6 linked regions of the Coturnix japonica genome follow. The protein of the gene in region 2 purifies or fractionates together with the protein of the main gene of each other region. This does not show direct contact. Links are inferred from orthologs where the notes say so. Each region holds a gene or a part of one and is shown on either strand. Other genes may lie near its edges. The genes, in order: COPE, COPG1, ARCN1, COPA, COPB1 and NUDCD1.

What was found.
Region 1: the proteins of COPG1 (region 2) and COPE fractionate together in Homo sapiens (co-fractionation; 6 studies listed by BioGRID and IntAct, counting the BioPlex papers as one, with this or other methods). This does not show direct contact. The link is inferred for Coturnix japonica from reciprocal best matches to the Homo sapiens genes COPG1 and COPE.
Region 3: the proteins of COPG1 (region 2) and ARCN1 purify together in Homo sapiens (affinity purification with mass spectrometry; 6 studies listed by BioGRID and IntAct, counting the BioPlex papers as one, with this or other methods). This does not show direct contact. The link is inferred for Coturnix japonica from reciprocal best matches to the Homo sapiens genes COPG1 and ARCN1.
Region 4: the proteins of COPG1 (region 2) and COPA purify together in Homo sapiens (affinity purification with mass spectrometry; 6 studies listed by BioGRID and IntAct, counting the BioPlex papers as one, with this or other methods). This does not show direct contact. The link is inferred for Coturnix japonica from reciprocal best matches to the Homo sapiens genes COPG1 and COPA.
Region 5: the proteins of COPG1 (region 2) and COPB1 fractionate together in Homo sapiens (co-fractionation; 11 studies listed by BioGRID and IntAct, counting the BioPlex papers as one, with this or other methods). This does not show direct contact. The link is inferred for Coturnix japonica from reciprocal best matches to the Homo sapiens genes COPG1 and COPB1.
Region 6: the proteins of COPG1 (region 2) and NUDCD1 purify together in Homo sapiens (affinity purification with mass spectrometry; 3 studies listed by BioGRID and IntAct, counting the BioPlex papers as one, with this or other methods). This does not show direct contact. The link is inferred for Coturnix japonica from reciprocal best matches to the Homo sapiens genes COPG1 and NUDCD1.

The regions. Positions count from the first base shown.
Region 1 is NC_029543.1:2,777,643-2,781,848, reverse strand, and holds the end of COPE (coatomer subunit epsilon), read right to left. Parts: coding exon 4,202-4,206; intron 3,910-4,201; coding exon 3,828-3,909; intron 3,098-3,827; coding exon 2,942-3,097; intron 2,685-2,941; coding exon 2,616-2,684; intron 2,165-2,615; coding exon 2,090-2,164; intron 1,545-2,089; coding exon 1,497-1,544; 3' UTR 1,193-1,496; downstream 1-1,192. UniProt on the Homo sapiens protein: The coatomer is a cytosolic protein complex that binds to dilysine motifs and reversibly associates with Golgi non-clathrin-coated vesicles, which further mediate biosynthetic protein transport from the ER, via the Golgi up to the trans Golgi network.
Region 2 is NC_029527.1:6,777,569-6,782,575, reverse strand, and holds the end of COPG1 (coatomer subunit gamma-1), read right to left. Parts: intron 4,947-5,007; coding exon 4,775-4,946; intron 3,818-4,774; coding exon 3,720-3,817; intron 2,263-3,719; coding exon 2,124-2,262; intron 2,004-2,123; coding exon 1,905-2,003; intron 1,513-1,904; coding exon 1,382-1,512; 3' UTR 1,142-1,381; downstream 1-1,141. Other genes in the region: abasic site processing protein HMCES, read right to left, coding at 842-1,024. UniProt on the Homo sapiens protein: The coatomer is a cytosolic protein complex that binds to dilysine motifs and reversibly associates with Golgi non-clathrin-coated vesicles, which further mediate biosynthetic protein transport from the ER, via the Golgi up to the trans Golgi network.
Region 3 is NC_029539.1:4,767,225-4,772,936, forward strand, and holds the start of ARCN1 (coatomer subunit delta), read right to left. Parts: upstream 3,424-5,712; 5' UTR 3,256-3,423; coding exon 3,253-3,255; intron 3,237-3,252; exon of another isoform or gene 3,222-3,236; coding exon of another isoform or gene 3,219-3,221; intron 2,019-3,218; coding exon 1,755-2,018; intron 1,182-1,754; coding exon 1,002-1,181; intron 784-1,001; coding exon 578-783; intron 157-577; coding exon 1-156. Other genes in the region: IFT46 (intraflagellar transport protein 46 homolog), read left to right, coding at 3,531-3,833, 4,250-4,389, 4,583-4,657, 4,771-4,864, 5,301-5,429, 5,674-5,712. UniProt on the Homo sapiens protein: Component of the coatomer, a cytosolic protein complex that binds to dilysine motifs and reversibly associates with Golgi non-clathrin-coated vesicles, which further mediate biosynthetic protein transport from the ER, via the Golgi up to the trans Golgi network.
Region 4 is NC_029540.1:868,334-873,286, reverse strand, and holds part of COPA (coatomer subunit alpha), read right to left. Parts: intron 4,935-4,953; coding exon 4,795-4,934; intron 4,331-4,794; coding exon 4,245-4,330; intron 3,871-4,244; coding exon 3,732-3,870; intron 3,407-3,731; coding exon 3,244-3,406; intron 3,135-3,243; coding exon 2,988-3,134; intron 2,846-2,987; coding exon 2,656-2,845; intron 2,543-2,655; coding exon 2,447-2,542; intron 2,261-2,446; coding exon 2,172-2,260; intron 1,937-2,171; coding exon 1,813-1,936; intron 1,560-1,812; coding exon 1,470-1,559; intron 1,372-1,469; coding exon 1,262-1,371; intron 1,093-1,261; coding exon 1,015-1,092; intron 837-1,014; coding exon 768-836; intron 549-767; coding exon 412-548; intron 7-411; coding exon 1-6. UniProt on the Homo sapiens protein: The coatomer is a cytosolic protein complex that binds to dilysine motifs and reversibly associates with Golgi non-clathrin-coated vesicles, which further mediate biosynthetic protein transport from the ER, via the Golgi up to the trans Golgi network.
Region 5 is NC_029520.1:14,573,051-14,578,189, forward strand, and holds part of COPB1 (coatomer subunit beta), read right to left. Parts: coding exon 5,090-5,139; intron 4,335-5,089; coding exon 4,105-4,334; intron 3,381-4,104; coding exon 3,211-3,380; intron 2,570-3,210; coding exon 2,455-2,569; intron 1,775-2,454; coding exon 1,682-1,774; intron 1,440-1,681; coding exon 1,302-1,439; intron 310-1,301; coding exon 190-309; intron 1-189. UniProt on the Homo sapiens protein: The coatomer is a cytosolic protein complex that binds to dilysine motifs and reversibly associates with Golgi non-clathrin-coated vesicles, which further mediate biosynthetic protein transport from the ER, via the Golgi up to the trans Golgi network.
Region 6 is NC_029517.1:119,458,789-119,463,927, forward strand, and holds the end of NUDCD1 (nudC domain-containing protein 1), read right to left. Parts: intron 3,887-5,139; coding exon 3,594-3,886; 3' UTR 1,135-3,593; downstream 1-1,134.

The sequences.
Region 1 (4,206 bases), on a different chromosome or scaffold from region 2:
CCTGAGTGCAGCAGAAATACTCCCTACTAACCAGAAACAGACAAATAATCGCTCATAAATAGAAAACCCATCTATGGAACTCTATGTAAAGCGATGAGTTTGAAGCAATCTAAAAGTCATTGCTTTGCCCACAGCCATTCCAGCAGAGTCATTTCAACTTCTCTAATTGGTCTGGGGCAGCAAAGAGAAAACACAAACTCGTTCTTCTCAGAGCTCTGACCAACACATCCCCCCCCTCCTATTCTCACACTGACAGCGCTGGCTCCTACTATGGCACTTGCTTTTATTGTTTACGTTTTTTAAGTCAATTTATCATGGCCCATCAAGTGGGTAATGGCTGCCCTGAGCACACAAGCCCCTTTCACATCTCCCTCAGACAGCTCCACAAAGGAAACATTCATCCAAGACTGGACCACGAATAACCCCTCATTGAAAAGAGCTGCTCGCTAAACAAGCCAAGGAAAGAGACAACGAGCTCTTTCAGAGCGATCACAGCGAGGTGGGCACAAAGGAAATGCCAGTTGGACACATTTACAGTGTAGTATAAACCCCCTCTTCTGCCTCCCCCCCAAAAACGCTTCCCAAAAGATAAATTCAAAAGAGAAATCAAATATTAGAGCTCAGGAGGCCCCGCTGAGGGATCCAGATGGGATCTTCGTATCTCTGACACAACACAACCAACCAACACAAAGAGCAGCCTGAAATGCTGCACGGGAGTCCAAGGCATCATCACACGGTGCTCTATTATGTTCCATTACACGTCAGGTGCAACGACCATCACGTTTCTCAGGAATGACTGGGGATAAATAGACTTCTGCATGTATTGCAGGATGTACTTTGTTAAGAGAAAGCTCTAATGCTTTCCTGGCTCCAGGACACGAGATGTTGCATTTATCAACTTAAGATCAGGGCTGAGCCTGTTACAATTGGATTATTTCTATTCTGGGGAAGCTTTCCCTCTCCCCAGCAGTAACCCCTACAGCTGTGCATCCTTCTTCCGGAGGACGTTAACCTAAATGGAGTCATTATCAGACTGAAAGAACAGCCAGGACTCAGGATTCATCCACCAACCCAAGTCTGATACTTGAAGTGAACCTTCACACTCTGCCCCCATAGGTATAACATCCTCAGTACATGACATGGCTCAGAACAGAATCACTTCTGTTTACTAATTTACATTTCAGAATGTAAATTAAGGGGCACACAGATCCAGAAAAGGCTTTATTAGGAATGTTTAAGGTACAGTGTTGCAAACTTGATTCGTATTTTAAACAGTTGAAACCCCAAGAAAGCCACAACACAGGCTTTTTAGCTACCAAGTTCAAGTAGCTACACGTTATATACAGACTTAGCAACGCTCTCCTGCATTGCAAGACCCTGCCACAGTGAGTTACACCAGACCCAACTTGCAAAGGCCATTTTTCCATGTGACCAGAAAGGATCTGAATAACAACCCCACTTCCCAGGTACCATAGAGCAGCTCTGTTCCCCTCTCCTCAGGCGCTGGGGGCATATTGCATGGCCAGTCGGTCAAAGTCATTCTCCTTCAAACCAGAAACAAAAATATAATGAACTAATTTCAAACATTACTGAAAAATGTCATAAAACTTGCAGTAACTCTCAGCTATAGAGTTCTATCAACCAGGGCAAAATGAATTCTAAAAAGCAAACTGTCCACATCAGTTCTCTATGATTTCATTCTCCCTTCCCTGTTATCTTCCTCTGCCCATCCCCTCCATTCTTTCTCATCCAGAAGATTTTCTCTATTTAAGCAGTGTCTCAACCTAACAAACAAGTCTGTAATCTGGGTTAGATGGACCTCAAAGCATTTCTTTCCAGATGCCACCAAATTCAGGGTATACTTCATCTATATATGTCGTATAGATACTCAATCTGGATGTTGATCATTTCCCAATGCATCTCACAAGGGCTAGAAACATTGCTGGCAGTGGTTAGATGCTGGAGAAGGAACATGGGCCGACCCTTTCAGAACCATAGACATGCTTACTAGTAACAAATCCCTCTGCCCCATCCTCTTGTTGCTGTAAGTCATTATAAACTCAGTTTCATATCGCAAAATAACAAGTACCTTTGCCTGATACTCCTTTATGAACGGATGGTTTTTATGTGCATCCTTCAACTGTGACAAATAACGATTTGTAACCTGATGGGATGAAAAAGGGAGATTTAAATACTGAAATAACACCAAGAAAAGCCAAAAAAGTTTAAACCGATACTTCTATGACTTCGTTCTCAATGAGCTAAGAGCTGATTTCTTCAGCACCCTCAATGTTAGCAGCCCCATTTAAATCAGTAAGACCTTCAATAGCAGATTCAACAAAAGGAGAAAATCAAGCTCAGAACTTGGGAGATCTCTTTCTCCACCCCAGGTTTTCCTCTGAAGTACATACCCCTGTCTACAGACAGACTTTATTGAATACTGAATACCACCCCGCACCCCAAAACTCCAAATCTATTTTATTTTCTTAACACCAATCCCAGTGAGAACACAAGACTGCAAAACCCAAACGTTATCAGGCACAGTAGGAACACACAACCTGCCCCCAGGCAGAGCAGCCTGATCTGCTTCTTGAGTACCATAAAATAAGCCTCACCTCTGGTGGTTTGCCCAGGTGTTGTGACAGGACAACAAAGTTGATCAAGGTCTCAGGATGGCCACTATCCTGGAAAGAAAAACAATCACCTGTCTTTGTGACTTATCCCTAACACAATAAGTGTAACACCTGGCACTGCTGTGCAAGAACAACTGACGAGCCCGTAGCTCACTTTAATAGAACAGGTAGAGTAGAAGGCAGATGTTAATAGCAACCACTCTTAGGGACATTTTCATAAAGCATAATGAAATTCCTTGCTGTTATAGCCTCTATGCGTAAGAGATAGTTAGATTCAAGCCAATTTGCCAGGCAAAACCATTAAGTACCTTGTCCAGTGCCTCTTGAAGTACCCCCTCTGCATCATCCCACTTGCCCTGAGCCATATAGCAGGCTGCCTGCCCATTAAGCAGGAGGAGGGTGGAGGAGCATTTGTCTGCCATCTCTTGGAAGATGTAATAGGCGTCCTGTAACTTCTCACCACCCTGCAAAAGGACACAAGCATGCAGTTTCACTGTGTATTGCTAAGAAGGCTGTATTCTGTTTTTGTGGCTAAAGAAAGGGGCCAAGAAGTTAATTTGAAGGGTTATAAAATGAGCTATTGTCATTCACAGAGTCTCCTCTGAGAGATCACTGTAAGACTACAGATGAAAGGAATGCAAAAATATTAAATATTAAGAAGCACTTAAATGATCAAAAGATCAAGAAACATTTCAAAAGAACCACTTCAGAACACCGACTTAATGTTTGGAAGAACATTACAACGTAATAAAAGACTATGAAATGAGATCTTACAATTAAACCCAGGTACAGACACCTGGCTTTTCAAAACATTCCTGCTTTAGAAAGGTTTCAGATGCAGCAGCTTGCACTGATTAGAGGATGAATGTTTCCCTAGAGGAAAATAAGATCTTAAGGAAAACTCAGCCCCAGGTTACTGTTACTGTTGTAACAGGTTACTGCACGCATACCTTGGAGTTTACTGAATCTTAGGAGACTGGTTTCAAACACCTGACATCTGGACTTAACAGACAACACGTGTTTTTGGCTGATCTGAAACTCTTCATTACAATACAATTTCTTGCCAACCAGTTGCAGGCACCAAAAGAACAAGTTTAATGAGATGGTGGTAACTTGGTAAAAGGCCATCACAAACTAAGCACAGAGTCTTGTCTGAATGCTGTTTCTCAGATATCGTAGGCCAGGGATACTCACTACAGCCAGGTTCACCCAGGCAGTAGCCAGCTGAGTGAGGGTCGCATCTTCATCTTGCTCCTGCATCTTCTTCAGTTCCTTGCTGTGGATGCAAAAGTGGGAGTTGTGTAAAAGGAAAACAAGGCCTGTCTTAGTCCTCTAAGATGCAGACAGAAGGTTGAAGTTTCCTTTCTCAAGCTCTTTCACCTCAACAGAAAAACAACCATAGCAAACTAGTAAGGAGGCATAATTACCTCCTAATGTTTCACTGAGACAAGCTGTGGAAGAGCTCCTTGTTTTACTTCTGTAAGGAAAGGAAGAAATCCAGGCCTAGAGATTCAAACCCCTTTATGCTCACTATTCAGAAATAAAGTGACACAGACAAGCTTACTCACCGAGC
Region 2 (5,007 bases):
GCATCGTGTTTATCAGGAGCAACAAGCTCGGTTTCTGTGGCAGGATAAGGACGGTGATGTGGCTCCATCCCTCCTCTGGTTAACAAACAGCTGGTGCTGAGGTTGAAGAGAACATCCCGGGGGACACAGAGTTCACCTTTATTTGAATAACGTGATTTCTGGTTCACTTTCACTCTTTGCATATTGCCTCAGCTCGGGCAGTGGAAACAGAGCGGTGGCTTTCACTTCCTCCTGCACAGCGCTGTGTTGTGCCTGCCCAGAGCAGCACAGCTGTGAGCACAGAGTGCGGCTGCACTCAGACACCATGGGTAGATGAGGATACACATAGAAACGTGCACTGTATCCCACTGAGCTCCCCCAAGCACCCACACCCCGACCAACTGAGGGGCACCCTGTTCCAACTGCCGGGTGAAGGTGGCTGAGAGATCCATGTTATGCTTCAGGGTGTCATCGCAGGGCTCAGCCTGTGTCTCCCTGTGCACATATAGCTCATATAGACCATGCACAGCCGCCAGCTGTGGGTTGGCCATGGCTCAGTGCCCCCACTTCGGGCTGTTGGGGCTCAAATAACGGTAACCCCAGCGGTGTCACCTCAGCCCAGCCCAGCCCACAATACAGCTCCAGGCTGCTGGGAGAACCCACAGCAGCTCCCGACCGGCCCCCGCAGCAGCGCAGCCCCGACTCCCCGCCCTCCTCGGTGCCGCGCCGATATGAACGAGATACTTTCGTAACACGGACTTTGAGAACCAAAACAAGCGGCCACCACCACCACCCAACAACCCTCCCCGCCCCCCACACCCACATACCCCCCATCCAACCCCACTCCCCGCGGGGCCGTTACCTGCTGGACGTGCTTTCTGGACAGCAGCACCGGGCCGCAGGACTGCGGGCCCTTGTTGTACGAGGGCCGGTAACGCTCCTCCCGCAGCCACTCGGGCTGTTGTCTCCGACCCCTCCGGTCTCTATAGGCGCAGGCCCGGCGGAGCCGCGCGGCCCCGAGGGAGCAGGCCGTGCGCCCGCACATCGCCGCCCGCAGCCCCGCTCTGCCCCGCTCCGCCCCCCGGAGGTGGGGCCGGCAGGGGCGGGGTGTGCGGGCACCGCGATGAGATGGACGGCAGGGAGCAAAGCCAGCATCCAGAGATGGAGGAGGAGCAACGAGAGGCTTTATTGTCAGCTCGGGAGCTGCCGGGATGGCGGCTGGGGGAGCAGCTCGGCTTGGAGCCGCCCATCAGGGCAAAGCGGTTCGTAAAATCAGAGCTTAAAAACAGCGTTATTTTACAGACAGAGCCCCGCATCCAGGTCCCCAAATGCACTGATGAAGCTGCTGCGGTGAACGTGATCCCTTATCCTCCCCTGGCACAGAGGAGGCGGCGGGCAGCGCTCAGCCCACAGAGGCCATGATGACATCCACAGGGAGCTCCTCCGCGCTGCGGGCCGTCACCTGCATCGTCACCGTGTCGGTCAGCAGCAGCCGAGCCCGGAGCAGCAGGTCGTGACCGCCCCGGAACACACCTGGAAGGAGGGGACAGGAACGGGGCGGGGGGTTAGAAGGGACCCCACGTGGGAACTCTCAGTCACAGCGAGCTACACTTGTAATACGAAGTGTCCAGCACTCGGCCATGGGCTGGGCAAAGTGCCACCCTTCTCCCCTCAATCTCCTTCCAGAACAGGATGCTGCAGCTCAGCAAGGCTGCAAGTCCCACCCAGCTGAGCCTCAGCTCACCCCAGTTCCAATAGCAGCCACCCTACACTTGCAAAAGACACAAAGCGATGGCATGGGGTCCATCCCAACCCCACGCAGGGCTCAGGGAGCACATCGGGAGCTCAGGGAGCACATCGGGAGCTCCTGCTTTGACTTTCAGCTCAGTGCAACCTTATGGAGCCGCTGCTCCAGCACAGCTCACCTGCCAGGTACAGCGTGTGAGAATTTTTGTTATCTGGCACTTTATCCGACCGCTCGCAGGGCTGCATCCCCAGGAACTTCACGATATTGCTAACGGCCTCTGTTAAGAAGAAGTACAACATTGCCTTGACAAGGACACACAAATCCTCTTTGTGTGTTGCGGTCTTTGCTCAAGGGAGGGAAATGTTAAGAGCCCTGCTGGGTTCAGACACTGCCTTACCTTCAAGGGTTTTAATTGCAGATAAAGTAAAGGTTTCTTCCTTTTCGTACTCATCACCCACTTCATCCCAAGCAGCTCCAAAGTTGGGCTTCAGAACTCGCTGGATGTGATCAGCCACTGTTACCTCAAGATCTTCAAGCTGGAGGTAAGAAGAGGCCCAAGTGAAACAGGGTTGTTACTTACTTTGCCTTCTCCAGACTGAGCTGCAGACTGGATTCCCTGAGATCAGGCCCAGGAGACAAGTCTTCACTTCTACTCAGGAATAGATCAGAGCAAGCTCTGTCCCTTCTAGTTTGTTCAAGCAAAGAATTAATTAGTTGAGCAGCTGCTTGTCCTGGGAAGCCAAGCTGTGCCACTTGCAGGGCTCACAGAGCAGGTTCCCAACCTGAGCTCAGCCCTTGGCCTGACAGGGATCAGAGCACCAGGCAAACAGCCAGAGCAGTGGACAAGACATAAAAGCTGCTGGCGCTCACACTGCTGTGCCATCTGCTGCCCTAGAACGCACATAAGCTGGTATTTTACCTTCCTGGCCTCTTGTTTTGTAGGCTGGTAAAGTACCGTGAGACACAGTCAGATGTTTGCTGTAACATAAGGCTGCATGCCAGGATAGCTGAACTGCTGCTGTGACTACGTCTGTGTAAGAAACAACTGTGTTGGTTCCCCTGGAGCACATATCTAAGAGCAGTCAGTGCCAGAACTGGCCTGACATTCACTGTAGCAATTGCTGCAGGAAAGAATCTCCCCTTGAATCTAGTTGAAACAGATGGAAGAGTTTGTTTAAACATCACTCTGATGCCCTGATGCCTGGTGGGAAGCAGGCAGAGGGGTCAGCCCTACACATTCCTGTGGTAAAATCCCTCCCCAGTCCTTCTGGGAGGATGCCATGTCCTCAGTGACTCACTGCACAGCAGTTCCCCTCATCAGATTCACAACAGAGACAGGCAACACAGAGAAAACAGCTTCTGAAGGTAACAAGGCAAGCTGAATTCGTGTCACAACATCCCTTCATCTCTGGAGGGAAAACACCACCCTCTGGGAGGCAGTTCCAGTTTTTGACCAAGCATGAGCTTCCTGTGTGATAAAACAGCCAGGAGACAAGATTTCACAGCATCAGTGCTTTCATCAGTCTCACTGCTAAGGAGGTAATGCCAGAGGAAGAGCAAGGATGGCAGTCCTCCTATATCAGATAGACCACTGATAATTAACCACAGAGAGCAATTCTGGTGGGAAGAAGAGATGGCCAACAGCATTCTGTCCCCCAGAACTGCCCGTGCCACTGCTGGAGCCCATAGGGCACAGCCAACCAAGCCCAGGGGACACACCATTGCCTCCCAGAATGCAAGTTCCCTGCATACCCAGGGGTCTGCCTGGAGAGCAGCAGGAGGATGCTCCAAACGAGACAAACAAGCTCTCCAAACACACATCCTGCATCTTGGGACGGACACCACAGGGGTAGAAAGACTCCCATCTCCCTGTGATTCCATCTGCAGCAGTGTCAGTGGGCACACCATTGCTTGCATGGCAAGTTACTGGGTACAGATCACAACACTCCTCATGACGACTGCAGTTTGATGTGGCACGTGCCCAGCTCCTTACCACATATTCATCCTCGTAACCCTCGTCGTCTGTTTCACCCGTGTTTGGATCGCAGTCCTTGACAGTGAATTTCATCATGCAGCTGAATGTGCAGGCCACTGCAGGCAGGGGAGGCAAAAGCAAAGCTCACATTACCACCAGATCCATTCCTCTGCAGGAGAACAGGGCTGGGAAACTTGGGGCAGGTGGGTTCTCCCCCTCCCAGTCAGCAGCACAGGCTTAGCACATGACCTAGAAAGTGTGCTGACAGCTTCTTTCTCTCAAGGACAAAGTACTTATTTGTAATGCTAGGGCCAGCAAACAGTGATAAATACAGACTCCCGATGGCTGCACAATAATCTTCAGATCAAGTCCTGTTACTCATGAATATCAAGTTGTGTTGGGAATACAAACTAAGCGTGTCCCATCAACCTCTTGTGAAGGAGGTGAGACCCTTATCTAGGGATCAGTTCATACACCTTGGAAATGAAACCACCTTGCACTGCAGCACAGCAGATGATTAATATCGTTCAGCTGGGAGAGGAAGCAGTGACTCATCTCTGAAGGCAGGCACTGCTGCATGAAGGGCAGCAGCACACAGGTGAGCAGCCTCAGAACAAGCCAGCAATCAAAGCACAGACTGGGCCTGGTTTATGTTCTGACAGTGACAAACAAGGGAATGCCCTGGAATTCTGGCCATTTGTCTGAAATGCTCCTTGAGTACTCTGTGCCCTCATGGCAAATCATAGCAAAGCAGACAGCTACTCGCCTCCCCGTGTGCTAAGAGCAGGCTAAAGGACACACCAGGGTGCAACAAAGACATTTCAGCAGAGATCTGAGTGCTCATCTGCCAGTTGCCACAGCCCAACAGTGTTTTAACACAAGGGAACCAGGAGGAGAAGGGAGGCCTGACAGCCAGCCCTCAAGCAGCAAGGAGAAGTCATGCTTGGCATCACTCAGGGATGCACCCACACACAGTCTATAAATATCTGCAAGGTAGAATGCATGTGGGCGTAAGCAATACGGTATGCTTAATTTGGGGGAATATCATGGAAAACAGAGCACAAACTGTTTACCTGCTGTTGGATCCTCTTCAGACAGTGCCACCAGCGTGTAGCAGGTGCCTGGCTGGTTGTACACCAGGCTTTTGGCAGGGATGTAGCCAATGACCTCATACCCCTCTGTTGGCTCCATCTGCACAGTGACATTCTCCAGGATCTGATCGTTCAGGGTGTTGGTACAGTCAAACTAAGCAGGGAAGGAGAGAACAAAGACAGCTTGAAGCTCTCAGCTCTAGATGTAAGAGCAG
Region 3 (5,712 bases), on a different chromosome or scaffold from region 2:
ATATTAATGGGCGGTGCAAGAACTTTGGCTGCTTCTGTAGAGCGTTTGCCTACAGAAGTCATGATATTTTCTCCCTCCGATTTCAGCTTGTCCACAAAGTTGTCCACCTCCTTCCCTTTGGCGCCCAGTTTCAAAGCTTTACTAGGACCTGATGGTCTAAACAAAACACACAAACACCTCCAAGTCAGTTCAGCACAGCAGTTTCATCCATCCTCAGTCTGATCTTCAAGTGTTGTAACTTCAACAATATTAAGCTCACTTCAGTAGCAGTACACACAGGAGGGGCCTGCCCTTCCCTATCTTCCTGTAGAGACAGAGTCACACACAGAATCCATAATTACAGTACAAAATGCTCCTTGCATGACCAGGGGGAGAGAAAGCTCTTGATTCCCAAAACACAGCACCAGCCTGACAAACACCAACAGACCACACCAGTGCCAGCCATACCTGACCACTCCCTTATGTACCCACACACACACACCAGGTACTTCAGCACCTGTTTATCCATGAAGACTCAGGAGGAAGCCAAACAAAACCCTTCAGACAGCACTAACTGCTGCCAACTGCACACACCTACCTGGACGGTGCTGGTGCCACTTTGGGCTTCTCTGTTTCAATGATGGTCTCTGTGATCATTGCTGCTGTTGTGCCCCCAGACACAGCTGAGCTGCCAAAGCCACCGAAGCCAGGCGCCTTCTTGCCCAGCCTCTCTGCATCCCTCCTGGCCTGCTGCAACTCCTTCGCTTTACGACGCATCTCAGCTTTTGCTTCACGTTCCTGAGTCTGAAATAAAAGATGAAAGCTGCTAAAGCTTTGCAATCTCAGTTTTATTCTGTACAGCTGCTCACGGTGTCTTCTTACAAACACAAAATGCCAAAGAATGGGTATTCAGTGTACAGGAAAGCTAAGTATCTTTAAAAGCCTTGCCAAAGTGGAGTAACACCTTTGCATAAAGAAGCAGTGCTCCCAAAGCACCTTGCACCACAATTAGTTCCACTCACCTCTCGGACAGCTCGGAACACCTTTTCTTCATGCGACTCCATCTCTGTGAAGGTCCGAATTTGTGCCAAGTTTACATTCTCACGGTAGCCCAGGGCAACAATTTCATCAAAGGCAAAAATCAGGTCAAAGCAGTGCTCAGAGATCTCATTCTCCTCTAGAGCTCGGCAATATTCAGGGATCTAGGTAGGGAAAAGCATTGCAAACAGATGTAGATGTGACAATCAGCACCCACTGAGCTGCTGTTTAAGATGAAGTTTTGTGACTATTTTTTTCCTTCAACTAAAACACTTATGGAGTCTTTCAGCACAGTTTTAACTTTGTAATTCACTACAAAACACACCCTGTGATGCTGCTCAGTTTCTTGAAGATCCTTCAGCTGCACAGATATAGATTATGAAGTTAATTAAAAAAACAACTGCAAAAACCCATGACTTAGAAATCCATTTAGAGCACTGCTATGCTTCTCAATCACAATGTGAAGCCAGGACTGAAGGAATGCAGTTGCTACCTAAAGAACATAGAAATATCTGACACTACATTCGCAGCATCTCTTTGGCCTCACCAGTTAAATGGCAAGCATGGATTTCTCACATGTAGTTCAAAATTACCACAGGAGCAGCAAAGGTTACTTCCAGGTCAGGAACAAGCCATAGATAACCAAGTTATGAGGTGGAGGCAGAGTGCTTCAGCACCAGCTTGCCACTGTTTGGGGCTACAGGTGTGAACACAGGACCCGACGTGTAGATCCTTACCACTCTAGAGAAGAGTCGGAGTGTTTCCAGGTCTTCCAGGATGTTGCTGTTTTTCGTGGTGATCAGCACCATGTAGAGCTTCTCCATCGGCTGATACACGTACCTCACGCTCTCTGTTTCCACAAAGGTGTGTTGCTTCCCAGTGTTCATCAGTTTGGGGAAAGCTGCCAGCAGCCCCTCGATGCGGGTTCGGGTCATCTCCACAAACTGCCGGGAGACGATGGCCTTCCCTGCCTTGGTGCAGACAGCTGCCGCCAACAGCACCTATAGGGACACAGACACAGCATTGAAAGCTCTCAGTCCTCCATTCAGGCTAATGCAACACCTTTTCCTATAGGGCTATGACAAAACCCCAGCAATGCTTTAGGCAAAAACTGACTTATCTGTTAGTTCAGCCCCAGCAGAAAAGTCACAATAAAGACCAGAACACTTTGAAATGTGACATCTCTTCCCAGTGCCACACTTAAACTAAGCCGGGTTAATAAAATATTGACCATTATATTAATTACAGCACGTGGATGGTTCTCCTGGGCATTTCACTGATGTTATCACACCAACAATAGAAAGGCATTAAGGTAACTGCCAATTCACCCTTTCTCATTCTCTCCGCCTCGACTTCGTCCTGAAATACTTCTCTCACAGATTAGTTTCTTAATTAACATAGTGAAGATAAAGCAGTTTCTAAAGGTAAGATCCTTTCACTCCCCAGCCAGTTTTAATCACAGTATCCTAACAATGAGAAGCACCAGAAGTTCTTCAGTGTCTGTACATTTCAAGCATGAACCCCAGCACGGCCAGGTGAGCAGCCAGCAACTGCTGTACATTGAGTGGCCATAGGAACCCTGTAGTCAGGGATATCTTGAAGAAAGCAACAGGCATAAGCCTCCATTTCCCAACTGCTCTTTGAAAGGGCTGTGAGTGCAGCACAGCACAGCACAGCACCGAATGGCACAGCTGATCTCAGCAGCACCTCGGCCTCTGTCACCAAGCAGCAGGTCCCGTTCGGGGACGGAAAGCTCACAGCTCCACGTCACCCACAGCCAACGGGACACAAGTGACCTCCACCCGAGCTGGCAGCTGAGGCAGCAAGAGACGAGGCCTGGTTACAGATGTCAGCCTTAACGCTGCAAGCAGCCTCCACGTTACACATCACGCAGCGCACAGCGGGCAGTGCCCCCCAACCGCCCTGCGGCAGCGCCCGGTAAGCGGAGCTGGAGGCTCCCACAGGCCGCGCCACGTCCGGGCCCGGAGCGCAGCGTCACCCGGCGGGGCAGCACGGCCTGGAGCGGCCCGGGTCCATCGCGGAGCTGCGGAGCGATCCGACAGTGCTCGGGGACGAGGCCAGAGAACGGCAGCGGAGCCGCCGAGCGATGAGCGGCCTGGCCAGGCCCCGCGAGCTCTCCGACCCCGGTCCGGCCGGCAGCGGCCCCACGAGCGGCGGCTGAGCTCTGGGCACAGCCTTACCATGGCGGCGGCTCATGGCCGGGCACACCCTTACCATGGCGGCGGCGCTCGGCTCGGCGCTCGCTCCCTCGCGGCTCCGCGTCCCCTCGGGCAGCCCCACAAGATGGCGGCGCCGAGCCACGTCCCCAGCCGGAAGCGGCGCCGCGCACGACGCGAGGGGCGGGGCGGGGCGGGAGGACCCGGAGCGCGGCCCTGGGGGCGGCCCGCGTCAGTACCGGCCCCGGCCGGCAGGGGGCGACACCCACACGCGGCTGCGGGGCCGGGCCGCGGGCGCCGCTCTAGCCGGGAGAGGGAGAGCGAGACGGGGTCGCCATGGCGACGGAAGGCGGCGTCATGGCGGAGCGGCGGCCGGCCGAGGGGAGCGGGGACGGGCCGGGCCGCGCCATCGCCTCCCCGCGACCCTCCGCACAGCCTCGGCCCGTGGAGAACCAGCCGTACGACGAGAGCCTGGAGCTGCCGGACACCGAGGAGGCGGCGGGGAGCGAGAACCGGCCGCAGGGATCCCGCCGGCCGGGGCCGATCTGGTCGGGAGGAGGCGGCACGGGAGCGCGGCCCAGCGGGGCGGGAGAGCGCGGCAACGACCGGGAGGGAGGAGGAGGCAGCAGCAGCAGCAAGGTACGGGGGGAGAGGGGCGGTACGGCACGGGACGGTACGGCATGGTATGGTACGGTATGGTACGGTACGGTACGGTATGGCACGGTATGGTACGGTACGGTACGGTATGGTACGGTATGGTACGGTATGGTGCGGTATGGTACGGTATGGTACGGTATGGTACGGTATGGTGCGGTATGGTACGGTATGGTACGGTATGGCATGGTATGGTACAATACGGTATGATACGGAACGGTACTGCACGGTACGGTACGGTATGGCTCGGTACAGTACGGTACGATACGGTACGGTACGGTACAGTATGGCACGGTACGGTACAGCACGGTATGGTATGATACGGTACGATACAGTACAGTACGGTACGGCACGGCACGGTACGGTACAGTAAGTAAGGCCGCGTCCCTCCTGCCCTGAAGGAAACAGTGGCCAGGCTGGGACCCTCCACCGCCAGCGAGGACGACGATGATGACGATGATGATGATGATGATGACGATGATGAGGATTCCTCCGAGAGCGACTCTGAGGACTCGGAGGAGCGCGGGGCTTCACTGGAGGGGTGAGCAGCGGAGGGAGCCGGGAACCCGTGGCTTAAAAGGGTTGAACAGAGTTGTGCACGGACAGGAAGCCTCTTACAGTGAGAGTGTCCTGCTTCTGCTTTGGGGCACAGCTGGATCCATGTTCGTGCCTTTGTTCTTGTACAAAAACTGATAGGAAGTAATGTCTGCAAGAATTGCTTTTCCTCTCTTCAGTGACTACAACCTCGCAAACTATGACTACCTGCCGGTATCTCCTGAAATTAAAGAACTCTTTGAATACATAAGGAGGTGAGTTGAAGGAGCTTTCGCCTGCCCTGGGTTCTCCTTTGTCTCAAGGTCTTTGTCTCTGGCAGGAAATGTCAATTGCCCACTATGCAATCCTGTTGTTTTTCTCTCTCAAGATACACTCCGAAAACAATACAGATTGAGCACAAACTGCAGCCTTTTATTCCAGACTTCATTCCTGCTGTTGGAGACATTGATGCCTTCCTAAAGGTACAGTGTTTTCAGATATCCCCATACCTGCTGACACACAGGGTGAAACAGAAGGTGGTTTAGATATGAGCCTGGCAGACTGCAGCCACACTGACCTGGTGGTAGCGAGGTGCCCTTGCCCTGTGCTGCAGATACTGCTGTAGACACCTAGGAGATCACAAATAGCAACACTATGACCTGGCTGGTCACTTTGGTAACATCCCACATAGCACATATGTAATTTGGTGCAAGGGCTGCCTGTTTCTTTGTCCAACACCTTATGCATTTCAGGTACCGCTGTGTTAACAACTCGTATTTTCTGCTCTTTCAAAGCATCACGCTTACAAATTTCTTCTGAATTGAGTCTGAATTTCTAACAACAGGGAGAAGCTGTACAGAATAGTTCCAGCATCCCCTGCTACTCCCATAGAGGATTCCTTCTGTGTTTTACCTGCAGGTCCCACGCCCAGATGGCAAGCCTGATAACCTCGGTCTGCTGGTCTTAGATGAGCCATCAACAAAGCAGTCAGATCCCACAGTACTCTCTCTTTGGCTAACGGAGAATTCCAAACAGCACAACATTACAGTGAGTCATGGGGAGAGAGAAAACATTTACTGCACCCAGGCTAGAATGAAGACATTGCACTTTACTCTTTGTGGGACTATAGCAACACAACACAACTGATAACTTGGCTTTAAAAGCAGAAAAATAACCCTTTTTGACCTATAGCTTTAAACTGAAATGTATCTAAGCCCTGCCTCAGGCAAGTCTCAGTACAGACTTAGGAAAACCACCACAAAGTGCTTCCAGGTTTCTATTTTTGTTTCAGCAGCAGATAAAAGTGAAAAGTGTGGAGAATGCAGAGAAG
Region 4 (4,953 bases), on a different chromosome or scaffold from region 2:
TCTTTCCTAGAGGCACCACAGAAGGGATGGAGTAGAAGTAGGAGTAACACAGAGGCCAGCCAGTACACACCAGCATTACACAGCTGCAACTTAATGGCACTGTAACCTAGAGCTGTGCTGTTCTTGACCATTAGCATAGCATAAACAACACCTGTGCTTCCACAGTTGTCACCCTCAATGCCAAGCTCTCGCTGCATTAACACAGGATGGAAAAGTCTGACTTATTTTTCCACTGCAGTTTCCCCAGTATCACAGTAGAAATACACATCTATGTTTCTTTAGATGTCCCAACCTTCAGACGACTAGCAGAGGTAGAACACCTAACTAATTTGGGCTATAACTGTTGAAGACTTGTGGATATATGGCAACAGGAAAAGAGCACAGAAGAGGAGCTAACCCAATATTGCTTACCAGTTGCGATGTGGGTAGCCATACATGGTAGGGAGACATGGCAGGGCTTGGTAGGTTGTACGGCCACGGGCGTAAGTCTGCAGGAACAGCTGCTTGTAGGGTCCAAAGTTCGTTACTCCCACCTGGTCATGGAGGAGCTGAAAGGGATACAATGATGTACTGACTTGTCCAGAGCCATAAGGAAGCTGCATAGACACCACTCAGGCTCACAGACCCTCTTAATTTACATCCAGAGAAAGAAATGTACAGAATGATTCACAGAACAAAGCTTCAGAGGGCAGAGACAAAAACAGAAGGGGACAAGGGCACCTTTTTTCCCCTCTCCCTTCCCCCCAGAAACACCAAGTGTAACTTACTCTCATTGCTGTCTCAAAGGAACCTGCCAGAATGTGGTCAACAGGAAGCTGTGAATTGTTACACCACACCTGCAAGAATGGAAGGGAAATCATACTGTGCATATACACACACTCACTGCCCTCAATCCCCTTAATAAGTTCTTGCGCTGTGCACACAGATGAATATTAGTAAAGACTAAATCTGGAAGAAATGAAACAGCATCAAGGTAGAAAGTTTCTGAAAAACATCAAAGACTTGTGATGTTACCTGAGCTGGGCTGGTGCCCTTGGTGGGTGGCACAAAGAAACCATCTTCTGCTCCTCCTGCTGGACCAGCAGGAACATCCTAAGGGAACAACACAGAGCAGAGATTAGTTCCCAGCACTCAGATGAAATCAGAGGTGGCCACAGCTGTAGCGACCAAGCTTCTAATGAAGCCCAGATCAGTATTCTCCCTCCCAACCCCCAGCTGCAAGCACCTTCCAAAAGCATCAATGACTCAAAGAACTCCCTACCAGTTCAGGAGGAAGATCCAAATCTTCTTCAACTTCCCATCCACCTCCTTCTTCCTGTCCTTTACCCAGACCTTCCTCTCCAAAGCCTTCTCCAGCATCCACAAAGCCATCTGCATGGAGAGGGGAGGAAAAGAAACCAACAACAGTTAGAGCTCTTACTCAGACACACGTTTTCACTTCTCTAAGAAATATTGTTTGACACACTCACCTTCATCGAGCTGTAATTCTGCATCTTCTCCCCAGCCTTCGGTGCCAACATTGTCGATATCAATGTCAGCAGCCAAGGCACCCCCTTTACCTAAAAGAAGGACAGGGCTATTCATTTGCACATCCGAGTAAGTCAGGCATTAAGAAAATAACTGTCAAAACTCACGTTAAAAGCCAGATTTTTAGATTTGTCAAGGGCAGCATAAATACCAACTCTGAAATCCAAAAATCTATAGATTTGTAGTAAAAACAAATGTGGGGTTTAACAGCAACAGCTCAGTAGACATAGAAACAATTGTATCTGCTCTGAGTATCTTAACAGCCTTCCAAGTACAATGAAATACCTTTGCTAGCAATTGTGCCTTCAAAGAACCCCTTGGAGACAGTCAGCAACGGCCAGTTTGTATCTAGAGGCATAACAGGAGCAGGAGGCTGCAGTAGTTTTGCATTGGGATCGATGTCTGGAATCTGAACAGAAAAAGAGAAGAACAGCTAAGGGCCACATAAGGAAAATCCCCATCTTTGACCCAGCTCCACACAGCAAAGTTCCAAGTCTATGGGACGTGGTGAGAAGAAACAAAGATGGTGCCCCCACTCCCAGAAAAGGAGCTGCCAAACTGGTCAAATTAACATGAAATCCCATTGTCAACCATCCCAAACTGCAGTGTTGTTGTTGTTATGAAGCATTGATCAAGTTGCTAACCGTTTCCTTCTCAGGATCAAATGTTTCCTTCAGGTTTTCAGCTTCCTCATCCAGGCCATGAGTTGCAGCTGTGAGATAGGCCAGGGACTCTGAAATTAGATACAACTAATGTGAATGCATGCCCTTTGTTGTCTGGAGAAGGAGAACATCACAGACCAGCTTTCTATCCACTTCGTTCAGTTTCTCATCTCTCTCCTAAAATTAGTGGTCATTCCAAAATACTCTCCAGCACCACCCCAGGCCAGAGAGGAACACATTGATCTGTTATTACTTACTTTGTCCACAGTTCTTCAGGATCCTCACTCTCTCTGCCACATCTCCTAGATACAAGGCATTCTGGTAGTGGCCACTCATATCTTTACGGATCTCAGCTAAACCAAAACAAAACAGAGTCAGTTTTGTTCTTCTTGGCCTTCTCTGTGCTGCTGCCGTTTCTCTGGGAATGATGCTCAGCTCCTCTTATCCCATTCACTTTTGTACTCACCTATCTTCATCATCTTCCGAAGCTTCTCCAAGTTGCCAGTAATAAGATAGAGGAAGGAGAGCCTATCAAAGTTCTTGGTGCGCTGGTAACACATCTCCACAATCTGATGATTTCCTTGCAGTAGTGCCACTTCTCCCAGTTTCTCCCAGCAATTCTTGTCATCCAGAGCCTTGGCTGCTTCCAGGGCAATCTAACAAGAGAACTGATGTGGTTAGTACAACAAATCTGAAGGAACTGCTTAACACAAGACTTGAGCTCAATTCTCTGCCCCCTCCCCCTCAGGGCAGAGAACCAAAGACACATCCTTTTCACAGCACTACCCACCATCTTACCTCAATGTTGCCACACTCCAGTGCCAGACTGAAACGGGTCTTCTCATCCTTGACAAAGTGCAGGGCCACCTCAGGGTAACCCTTCTTCTGCAAGTAGGCAATGATGGACTGGCCCACAAGCTTTGCATTCCTCACCATGTGTAGCACCTGCAAAGAAAACACCCAGGCAGTCAAGCTGACAACACCACTCACAAGGCACATTCCTTAACCCTCAGGCCACAGTCAAGGAACACTGTAGTTTCTCATGCCTCCTCACCTCATCATACTTTCTGTTGATCAATGCCAGCTTGAATTTGAACTCTGTGGGATCGATGGTGAGGACCCTGGGGCGACATTCTCTGTCCAGGCAGTACACATTGTTCCCCTTCACACGAGTAACATAGATAGGCAGGTCCAGGGTACGGATGATGCCATGATCCCTATGCCAACACAGTACACGTGTGACAGACACACCAACACATCTGTATGGCCACACTTCCTATCTCAAAGGAAGCTCACTACATTATTATTTTAGCTCCAATTAGATGAACAGTGCAGCCACCCAATCCAGCAATAAAACCCCAGTGAACAGTGTAAGCAACCAACCACAAATGAAGACCAAACATTTAGCTCTGTCTTGGGGTACACCCACACTGTACTAAAAGCACAATTACAGCAGCACCAGCTTTAGTGTCTGCCAAAAACAATCACCATGGTTCATGGTCAATCATTTCAAGGACTCACCCTGTGACCCCCCAGACTTACCCTGTGGTGACAGCGTATTTGATGTGGTTGCTGGTGGTATAGATGAAAACACCACTTTCATCCCAGGCACCACTCTTAACACGGATGTTTTCATGGATGTTGCACAGTGATTCCAGCTTTCTGTTGCAGATCATGATGGCTGGTGACAAGAAAAGAAAGGCAGTACAGTTAGCTCTATTAAGTATCTGCCTTTGAATTACAGCTTCCCTCCTCCACAGCCTCAGAAATACTGACTGTAATCAGAATCAAACACCAAGGACATGAAAGCAATCACAATGAAATCACCACCTGCCCTTATTTTGTGAAAGAGAGATTAGCTGAATCCTCTGAGGAACAAAAGAAAGCCCATGTCCTATAAGACTTTAAAGAAGACAAAGTGGAAGGGTCCACTGAATCTGTCTCCAACTGCACCTATGCTGCTAGCCAGAGCTCTGAGCAGATCATGCTCTTAACTAAGGAAGGAGCAAGCTCGCCCTAAGATCCAGGTTAAACTTTGCAGCCCTGCCTACTTACCATGCTTAGCCAACAGAGCTACGTGGGACATGTCAGCTGACCAGATGACATATTTCACCTTGGAGATCTTCACCGAGGCCAGAGTCCTGGGGAAAAAAAGACAGCTCTGACATTAAAGAGTTAAAACAATATTCCCAGTCTGTTTCTTTGTGGATAGCACAAGCTTGCTATCATATTGCAATTTTAAGAGCATTTTGAACAGATACAAAACCTAAGGGACAAGATGTTGGGCAAGTTTAGCTTGATTGAGTCTGCGATTTTTGATTTCTTTGCACTTTTACAGCTCCCGATTCTACAGTCACAGAATTTACAAGGCTATGGCACACATCTCCCTGTGATCAATGGCATAATGCCTGCAGCATAAATTACACCTTGGCTATGTTTGCACTCTGCTCTTCCTAACAGTTGTTAGCCGTGGTTTGGATCAGACTGATGCAGCCTGCAGCTGATGCTGAATTTTGGAGTGCATTAATAGCTGTGACTCGTCCCCAGAGGGCACACACCAACAGGATTACAATATTAAAACTTCTCCCAGCAGACTGGATCTTACCGCTTCTGCTGCACGTCAAAGAGGGTGATGGAGTCTGCATCTCTCAGTAACAGATTCCCTGTGCCAGCATAGAAAATCTCATCGCAGTTCGGCACCTGAACCTTCTTTGTAATCTCGTTCTTCAAGTTTTTGATGAGGATCTGCCATTTGTTGAGAGAA
Region 5 (5,139 bases), on a different chromosome or scaffold from region 2:
TCAACATTTACCGTAGTTACTGCAGGCAATAGATACAGCAAGCCTAAACGTAAAAGACCATTCAGCTGTTTTCAACAGACGTATGAACAAGAGGTTTAAATTTCAGAAGGGCATTTTGTACCATGACACCTGAAAATTTATAGGGAAGGAAAAACACTCAGATGGCTGGCAAGAAAAGAGCTCACATACCTGTAACACTCGCTCATGGGAGGGATGCTCCTTTAACTCAACCAACCGATCCAAAACAATCAATTTCACATTATTATCACTTTCTTTAATAATCAAATCTATGTAGCATTGGGCAGCTGCCTACGTTAAAAAGGAACAAAAATATTTATGTAAGTAACAAAGTAGGAAACTGGGCAAATCTTGAAGACAAATTCAGGAAAAGACAGCTTTTACTTATCTACTAGAGCAACAATGCAATGAGTTGGCACCGAAATTAACCTGAGAAGTGTTTAAACTTTCTGATAAACCACAAAGATGGTTCCATCAGTTTGTTATAGTAACACCACAGGAAGATGCACAGCTTACAATTCACAGCCTTGATTTCAAATTCAAACAAAACCATAAATTTCCTTGCATGCTTTGAGTCAAATCTTAGGTATAGGACAGGACATAAAAATGAATTTAAAATAGTTGACAGTGTTAGCATATCTAGATATGGTTTTAATGACAGCTTCTCCGTATGATACACATACTCAAGGAAAATGACTGCACTAAAGCAAGAATGTAAGAATTAATACACCTGAATTAATACACTTCTTTTGAAGCTACTATTTACAATATTTTTACTCTTATTCTAGACTGGTATATTCTATTTTTCATTAGAATTTAGAATTCCCTTATGATCTCAAGTAATCAACACCACAAAGATAAATAGGAATGTGAGGTCAAGCAGGAATCAACACAGATCTTCAAAGCCGTGCGTTACCACTTTGAAAAAGAATCACATTTCAGAGTAATGAAAGTAATTCAATCTCTGGAAATCTTCAATACTGGTCATCTTTAACAAGAAGGTCAAGAAAACAGCAGGTTGATACCAACTACTGTGATAAATTGCACAGATGCACAAGCCTGTCCATCAGCAAGTGGCATGAGGTCCACCAGCCACAAATCTGCAACATACAGTCCTAGTCTCTTCTGAGCAATTTTAAGAGACGTTTTAAGACAGTTTTACACACGAACTGTCAAAACTGACATTTTCCTGAAGCCTTCATACTTCAAAAGTACAAGGTATAATACACAGCACTACAGTGCACCAGCAGGTAGTGGGATGTCTGGAAACAGCACTTCTATACCTTGATTGCAGTCGGTGCACTGGAGAGCGTAACTAGTGTTCCTGCTGCTTCATATTTCACTGCAGGACTCGATGACTGTAGCAGGTTGTAGATGCAGCGAATAAAGCGAGCTCTCTCTGATGGATTGGCATGACAGACCTACATACAAAGAAAATTAAGCAAATGGTGGCAACCTTTTCTGGGCATAAGAAGCATCACTCACAGTTGCAAAAATCTACTTTAAAAAGCTATTTAAACTTTAACCGAAAACAGTATGCAATACTGGAATGACACACACAAGTGGCTAAAATGCCTTTTCCAGCTGTGTTCTAACTGTTCTGCTGAGGGCTCTAATAGAACCTGTATTGTTTTAAATACATCACAATATATTTCCCTTTTACCTTATAAATCAGCTCAACAATAACCAACTGTAGAATGTCACCGAATGTCTGGACTTGGTCAATGCAGGTACTCAAATAATCCAATGCTCGATCCTAAACAAATAAAATGCAAATCATTCTAAGTTATTTCAGAGTTCTCAGCTACATTTTAAAGTAAAGCACATTTTAAAAATCAGAGAGTCATAGGGTCACCAAGGTTGGAAAAGTCCTCTGTGATCATCCAGTCCAAACATCCACCTCTCACCCATATCAGCGATCAGAACAAAACTACACAGTCAACCTTTCGACTGAAAGCTCAGAACTGATGGAGAAACGTTAAATGTGAAGACCAAATTAATAAACTCTGGCTACACATGGCAAAAAGCAAGACACGCTTAACATGTAATCAGGCACAAGGATCAATTGCCAGCATAGCAAATGAACAGAACTTGCCATTTCTTTCTCATAAAACTACAAAAGCTATAAAATGATAGATAATGGGAGTCTTCTCAGTCCAGTAATGCTCACAAGACAATACTGATTACAGTTTCCAGCAACAACATACGTCTTCCTCGAATGCAGCCAACTGTCCTTTAAAATGAGGACAGCACTAAAGACCTATGTTAATTTATCTACAGTTAATGAACAGCCCACAGCTCATGTACAGCTGTCACATGCATGTTTTTTGTTTGTTTTTTTATGAATATGTTCACACTTCTAACAAATTACTGGCTGGTTACCCAGGGCATTTTCAGATACTTACTCTAAAGAAATTAGGGGGCAAGTATCCTTACCTGATCTGCATGAATTAACATCATAAATGCATTTCTTTTGCAGCTCGCATCCTTTTCATTCACTAGGAAATCATGGATCAATTCAGGAGCATCGGGTATAAGATGTTCAAAATTTCTTAAAAAAAAAAAAATAAAAAAAATTTCTCCATAATTCAAAGACTATTGATAAGGGGGAGAACATGCAGCGTAATTGAATATGAAAAGCATGAAAGAGCAACATAAAGCTTTTGTGCAGTCATTGCCCAGTGAGCAAAAAAATTGTCTGCTATTATGACAGATAAAATATGACTCCATATATGATTTCGGCTTAATAGCAACACTTGGTCATAGTGTTTACATAAGAAAAAAAAAGCAATAGCATTCAGTATGTAAGCGGAGTAGAGGAAGAATGTCTTACTTCAAATAAATTTATATGCTTATACTCCTGTAAAGATTTTTCTCTTTTTATATTAGTGGATAACAATTACTGTTTATGAAGTTTAGATAACTAAGAAAGGCATCTGTCCTTACATATTAACCTGCAATATAAGAATCTCAGCGACAGCTACAAAAGCAAGAGCAGTACCTTCCACTTTTCCAAACTGGTTCTTTACAGAGGAAAAAGCAAACAAAAAACCACACCCCATGGCAACCTTCTCTTCCTCCCAGCTCCCAGAAATTAATTAGTGATTGATAAATATTTATTAGGTCTCACAAGCCACCCAGGCCACCAAATACAGCCTTCTGCAGCCACTTGAAACAGTTTCTGGCATTTACCTATAAATGGTGTAAATTGCAAGGACTGCATTTCTGCGCACATAGCTGTGACGATGCTCGAGGCACGCACGGATGGCTGGCATCAGAGGCTCCAGCAGTTCTGCTTCTTTCAGCTTACAAAGAAAACGAAGAGTAGAGCCTCGGATAAACTCATTTGGATGCTGAAGATCCTACAATCAAGAAGCACATTTGAAATGTCAGACACTACAGTTTAATTGCTAAGCTCAGGTGAATGAACTTGCTAGCCTCTTCCCAAGTTAAGTTTTTCAATACAGCAAGTTCCAAAAGTTTGAGGATGCTTCCTTACCTTTTTATTAAATACTGAAGTCCAATGAAATTTAAAATGAGCAAATCTGTGTAATAAAACTTGCAAGTCCTAAGTTTTTTCTGCTGCACTGCACATATTGTTTGTGACTCCTAAGCCTGTGAAAGCTCACCCTGCAGGCATTCCAGCACAGTGGCTACTAACCTCTACTGTGTATTAGTTCATCTGCTTGCAGTCTATTCCCACAGCAAATGAAGGATTATCTTTGTGATGGAGTATCCCAAATACACTGCAATGAAGACATGCCAAATACAGCATCTACTCTTATTGATCCACTGTGTGTCCAAGGACACTGTGGAGGTGGTAATGAGGTCACCCCTCATCTTCAAGACTCCGACTTGGAAAGATCAAGCATTTAACGTTTAATTGTAACAAGCAACATGAAGATTCATTAGTAGTTGGTTTGCTGGTTACCTACAATTCAGCCAGCTATGAAGCATTAAGACAAAATGGTTTGCAAGGAAATGCAGAGCATAAGACATTTTCATATATTTTATATAACAGAAAATGAAACACTTTCTAAAAAGTACAGTGTGTGAACATAGGTAGTAAAGTAAACAAGGAGCTACCTTTCTGTATGCATCACAGACAAGGATCATTTCCTGCAGAAGCCTGCCATCTGGAGTGGTCTTCGGCACTATCTCCCAGAAGACAAGCAGCAGCTTTTTGATGGTATGATCTTGGAGAGGCAGCACAAAACGTATAATGGTCATCAGAAGCCCGGGTAGTTTTTCGCCATTCAGAATCATAATAATCACTTTCTTCAAGGCTTCTGTCTTCAACTTGACATCTCCTTTTTCTAGAGTGGATAGAAAATTCAAGAAAGTGAATCACTGTAATTGTATACTTAGGAAGGCTAACATGACAGTTTGATAGGACCGGCTGTTTTCTGGTCAGAAGATACAACTTCTCCCTGACAGAGTGCAATTTAACATCTCAATAAAATCCACACCCTCACTTCTAAGAGCATAAAGAGGAAGCAAGAGGTATTTAAAGAATAAGCCTAGAGTTTAGACTTATTTCTGGGATCAATGTATTGGAATTAAATGAATTCAACAGATTGCATCACTGCTTCAATGCTTTGAAACAGCATTTCAAATCAGAATACTCCAATGCACTGTGATATTACAATCATTTTACTCCTGTTTCACTGCTTTAAACCATCTTTCTTATACACCAGGATACTATGATGTGCTTTGGTATCATACTAAATACTGACAAGAAAGATACAGCTGTGTACAGAACAGTGACTGACATACTTCCATTAGCTAAGCCCGCCCAGACCTCAACACGTATTGTTTTGCATGAAGACTGAAACAGATGTCAAAGTTCTACTCAGAATTTGGACAAAAAAGTCACATAAGATAAATATCACAAGCTTCTCAAACAGCAAGCAGAAGAATTTACACATTTCAAACATCAACATAAGATAAACACTCATTTGCTTGATTTTATGAAATGCAAACGATATTGCAGCAAAAGTGTAAGGACACTATGGAAGAGTGATACAGGAATGATGGATGATCCTTCTAATAATCAGCATCCATTACTTACCTAGGTCATTTTTTAAGCTGATTTCAGAAGGTGGTTCCGAATCCATTGGG
Region 6 (5,139 bases), on a different chromosome or scaffold from region 2:
GTGACAGCGACAGGGAATGGATGGAGCTGTGTGAAGGGAGGGGGGTGGGGATGAGGGACAGGGTCTGCACCAGAGGGTGGTAGGCATTCAGAAGTGGTAGGATGTAAGCAGTTCTGCTCCCCTTGCATTAACAGGATGCTTCTAAAGCATCATAAAGTACTTATCTCTAGTTTCCATAGGTTTCAAGAAATTTAGTTCACTTAATGAAGATTAAATAACTGATTGAAAAACAAATACTAATGAGAGGTGCTCATTGCCACCAGTTCTGAATTAATGTTCTCATATTTAAAGGTCTGTGAGTAATTCCAAATTATGGGAGTTATTAACTCATAGTTGAAAACACATCAATTTGTTATGGTGTAAACCACATTTGATATAGAAACGTATGTCAGAGAATCTTCTTAGATCTTGCTCCAATGCAAGTCCATCCCACAGGGCCCATCCTTCAGGAGCAGTGTGCTCTAGCACAGGTCCTCATAGGTAGCAGCTCCCCCAGCCCTCCTGCCTCACCATGGGTTCCTCCATGGAAGGAAATTCAGGAGTTATAGTGGTAATAACAGCCATTAATGAAACAAAGCACAGCAAATTGAAAAAAATATATATATAAGCTTCAGTTTTATCTGCTACTCTCTCAGCATCTACTGTTTCATTAATGAAGAGCCACTTTGTCACATAAGAGAAGTACAGACCAAACCCTTCCTACTCTTCGCTCTCCGCCCTTGGGTTGAGGACAGATGTGCAAAGCAGTTCAGTTTAGAAACATCTATCTAGATATTTGGGTCTTATATGCGCCAAAGGATTAGAGAATGCAATGTGCACTTTAAGACAATGATACAAATCAACACTCTCCAGAAACTACCCCCATAAATTTGTACGTTGGCAGATATAAGACATGGAAGAAGAAAAACAACAACATAATAACAATACCTTTAAAAAACAATACAGGAGTTTGCAAAGAACAAGGAGTGCAGCAGTGCATGTATTGGCAACATACATGACCCTGCAGTGCTGACAATCCCCAGAAATCTGTCTCAACAGAAAACTCCTTAACATAATCAGCATTATTTTAAGGAACCGCTTATTTCTATTTCTCTACTTTGTTTCAATAACACAGGAAATAAACAAATCCTTTAAAACAACTTAAAAACTTTTATTATTAAATTTGATATTTTTTTTTTCATTTAAATTTGTAGAAGTATACATGATACATTCCAAATACGCAGCCAACCAAGTGAAATACTTGTGAAAGTACACTGAAATAAAGAATGCAAGTTTTTAATAGTCCAATACATTCTAAACAGATTGTGATTGGGACATCTCAGAAAGCACTGTCCTCAAATGTAGGATTTTATTTCTTGAAATTTTACAAAAACAATGAAGAATGGTTCTCAGAAAACTGTGTCTTAAATATCCCCATTCTCTACTTTGTATATGCCTACAATAATATGCTAAACAAATAAGCCTTAAAATTAATTGAACACAGAAATGGAAATGCTGATAGAAAACGTCTCCCTGTGGCTTGCAGCCATTTAATTATAGCAGCTTGCTGTGCAACAGCATGCAAGGTTCCTCAAGGCAATGAATCTTTTAAATAATACTATGTCCTTAACTCTCAGAGAAAGTGAAATAAAAGAGACTGACATATCCTGTCTGAGAACACCAAAATCATGAACACACAAGCAACATGGAACATGAGATGAACTTCTCCCCATGTTCAGTTGTTCCCATAAGAACAATGACTCCCCTGAAACTGACATGTTAGGGAAGCATGTTTTTAGTCATTACATATTATAACAGTCTGCAAAGAGCTGATTATTCTACTTGGCTTTGTTTCAGCTATTTCAGAAGACAACAGAAGTTTGTTTCCAGATATATATGTTACAGCAAGGAGGAATTTCATAAAGACCAGAAATTCTCATCCATAGTCAGGTTACTATTTAATGTTCATATAAATCTCAATGTACTTTATGCTGGAAAGTAATCAGCTGCATGGACTGCTACATATTTCTACCATGTCTGTTCAGCATTGTTACTCAACATGAAATTTAGCTGCAAAAGTTATGTAAAAGTCATACATTCACTGAGGCTTTTTAACAAGTATTTCCAAGACAGTTTAAACAAAAATGCATGAGAAGTGAAGGTTTGCAGATGGAATCTGTTTTAACACACCCAGGTAACAAAAAATCTTTTCACAAATGGATATACAAAATAACAGTGACATAAAGTGGAGAAAAATCAGGCTCCTTGGAAAGCTGAACTTGGAGCTTCTTAATATCCCTCTTGAACTTCACACCATATCATTTAATCATTTGATACAAAACTACAGAGTTTATGCGCAAGCGAAAACAATCAAAATCAATCTGGTAGTCTGTAATAACAAAGGACATTTTCTTCTCAATATATTCTTGCAGAGGTCAAAAATAGTATTAACAAAGATGCAAAGTACTAGGATGTGTTTGACTCAGTACTCTGGTACCACAGAACATTGCAGCTTTTGTGACAGCACAAAATCTACTCATCAGGCATCCTTTGCTATAGAGTTTTATGTAAACTATGAGAATAAAAATGAAGAGGAAGTTGTCAAAACTGACCTTTTTTGGTTTAATTCTATTGACACTATCACTTTAAAATAAGAAAGAAATATTCAAGAACAGTTTTTCAACAAAATGATCCACTCCTGCTTGGTAACAAGCAACTTCAAAGCATCCTCATCATCTGTGCACTCTTATATTGGACACATACCACATCTGGACTTGTGCACTGGGTACAGAGTAGTCAAGAAATTCTGTTATTTATGGTGATATCTAAGGCAGCAGCAGAACCTTTGAATTTCCCATCTCAGGTTACAACACAGGTGCATTTTCTGTTAGCTAATAGCAAATTAGTCACTTAAGCACATCTTGAAATGAAAATGAGACATTGGTACGAATCAAAGTCTTACTGCATTCTTAATCATATCAACATCAGCTACGCATTCACTCCTATTCAGTTTTAAGAAAATTTCACTGGCATTTATTCCAGCATCTCTTAAAATGTGAATAGATTCCATTACAAGCACGAGTCAGTCACAGAATTTTACACTATCAATTTGGATATACAATAAAATATTTCCACTTGAGTTAAACTGTTTTTTGGCCAACAGTCTGTGCATTTGGATATTTTTTTTTAAGCACACGCAGTTCCTTACACTGCACGCTATATGCTTGTAGCATGAGTCTGTATTTTCTTTATCTGATGACTTTTTTTCAGAGGTAAAACTATCAGTTAAAATCAGAAGTGAACTCTCAAATTTCAGAAGTCTGGCAAGCAGTCACTGGAAAAAGAAATGCATAAATCTATTCACTTCTGCAAACTGCAGTCTCTAGAAAGCTGCTCGCACACAAGGCATTTTTATTCGCCTCCAAAAAAGCTCATTTCAGCAACAGTGAAGCTGAAATCCTCTCACTGACTTACAGGTAAGTTCTAATGAAAAAACCTGATTCCCCTGTAAAATATCTCCTTGTTAAACTTCAGCAAAATGTACCAAACTCCTCAGATCACTTACCTGGCCATTTCTTTAACATATAAACATAAACTACAGCAAAATATACTAATTAATTTCCAGCATTCACCTTTATCAAAAACAAGGTTTTTGTTGTGAGAACAAATAATCTTTCATTTGTAGCTTGAAAGCCTAAGATTGGATTGCTGGCTTCCAGAGTTGCTACCAGCTGCTTTGCAACCTGTCCTACTTGTCTTCCTTCCTTCCTGTTGTAGAGAACTGTGGTCAGAGGAGTTGGCTGGCGATAGATGAAAATTCGCCGCAAGCACTCGCAAAGAGCAGCATAGGAATAGTCTGGGGCACAAGCCATGAACTTCTTGTCTTGTTTTGATGCTTGAACATAACCTGCATAGCCCAGAAAGACAGAGAGAAATAGAAATGTAATATACTGACCTCAATAACAGTTTAAATAGCTGTCAAAATCAAGCTTAGCTTCAAAAATAATAGGCGATTACCAGGGAATTTTTGAATTCGCAACTAAAACAGGATTAGTAACACACAAGTGGTTTCTCTGCAGCCGAGCAGTGCTTGCACAGTAACCTTCTTCCAAATCTTTGCCCTGCACATCCAGTCAGTTTAGGGTCTCAAAATGATCCATGCAACAGAGACCCTCCTTCAACAAACTGCAGTAAGAAGAAGCAGGACCAAGCGCTGCTCCTTCAAAGTGTAGTAGATGCTTAGAATTTATCTGTAATCAGCTAAAGGTCTTTTCAAACATTACTCCCTTTCCAAGAGAAAGCTGACACAACAGACATCTGGAGCAAAACATACTTGGTCTTTTAGGTTTCCCTTTGGTTCCTTCCTTAAGTTTCAGTCCAAAACTTGGATTGAAAAAATAAAGTTAAAAAATATATATATATAACTTATTTTCTTTGTATTATTAATTAAAAATGAATTCCAAAAGTTGAAACAAATAAAGCAGAAAAGAGCACTAATATTATTATTTTGGCCAATACAATCAATACAGTAATATTGGAAATTTAACATAGAAAATATTCATTTCTAGAATTAGCTCTTGCAAAGCAGTTCAAAACTTGGTTGTAGAAAAACAAGCTGATAGTTTACATCATCTTCAGCATATAAAAGGCAAACTAGGTTAGCACAAAGTCTAGTTGGAAAATTCAATATAATAATGAGAAATGACTGTAAGTAGGGCTAAAGAATAATTTTTTTTTAATCACCACAGGTAAAAAAGCTCAAATATATAATTATTTTCAAAACAATAGAAAAACATCATTAGAACATTACTTAAAAGTCAGCATAGAAACTTGAAACAAGCAATAATATGAAAAAAAAAACCCTAAACCTTAGTCCTTATCATCTGTTTTCCAGTACAATGAAATTTGAAACAAGTAAACAAAGAATAAACTGTGAAATTAATCTCTTCTGTTAAAAAACAAAACCATTTAGAGCTTAATATGGCCTTAAGTGAAAATAACAAGCTACTTTAAAAAGTCATTCATATACAAAACGTAATAGATTGCAAAAACCCAGAACAAATCCAATTATCCAATTAAACTGCTTATCTTCCCTTTAGTTTTAGATGCAGGCTAACAGTGATGTGGTCAAAAAATGCATTTAGAGGATGGAGGGAATTA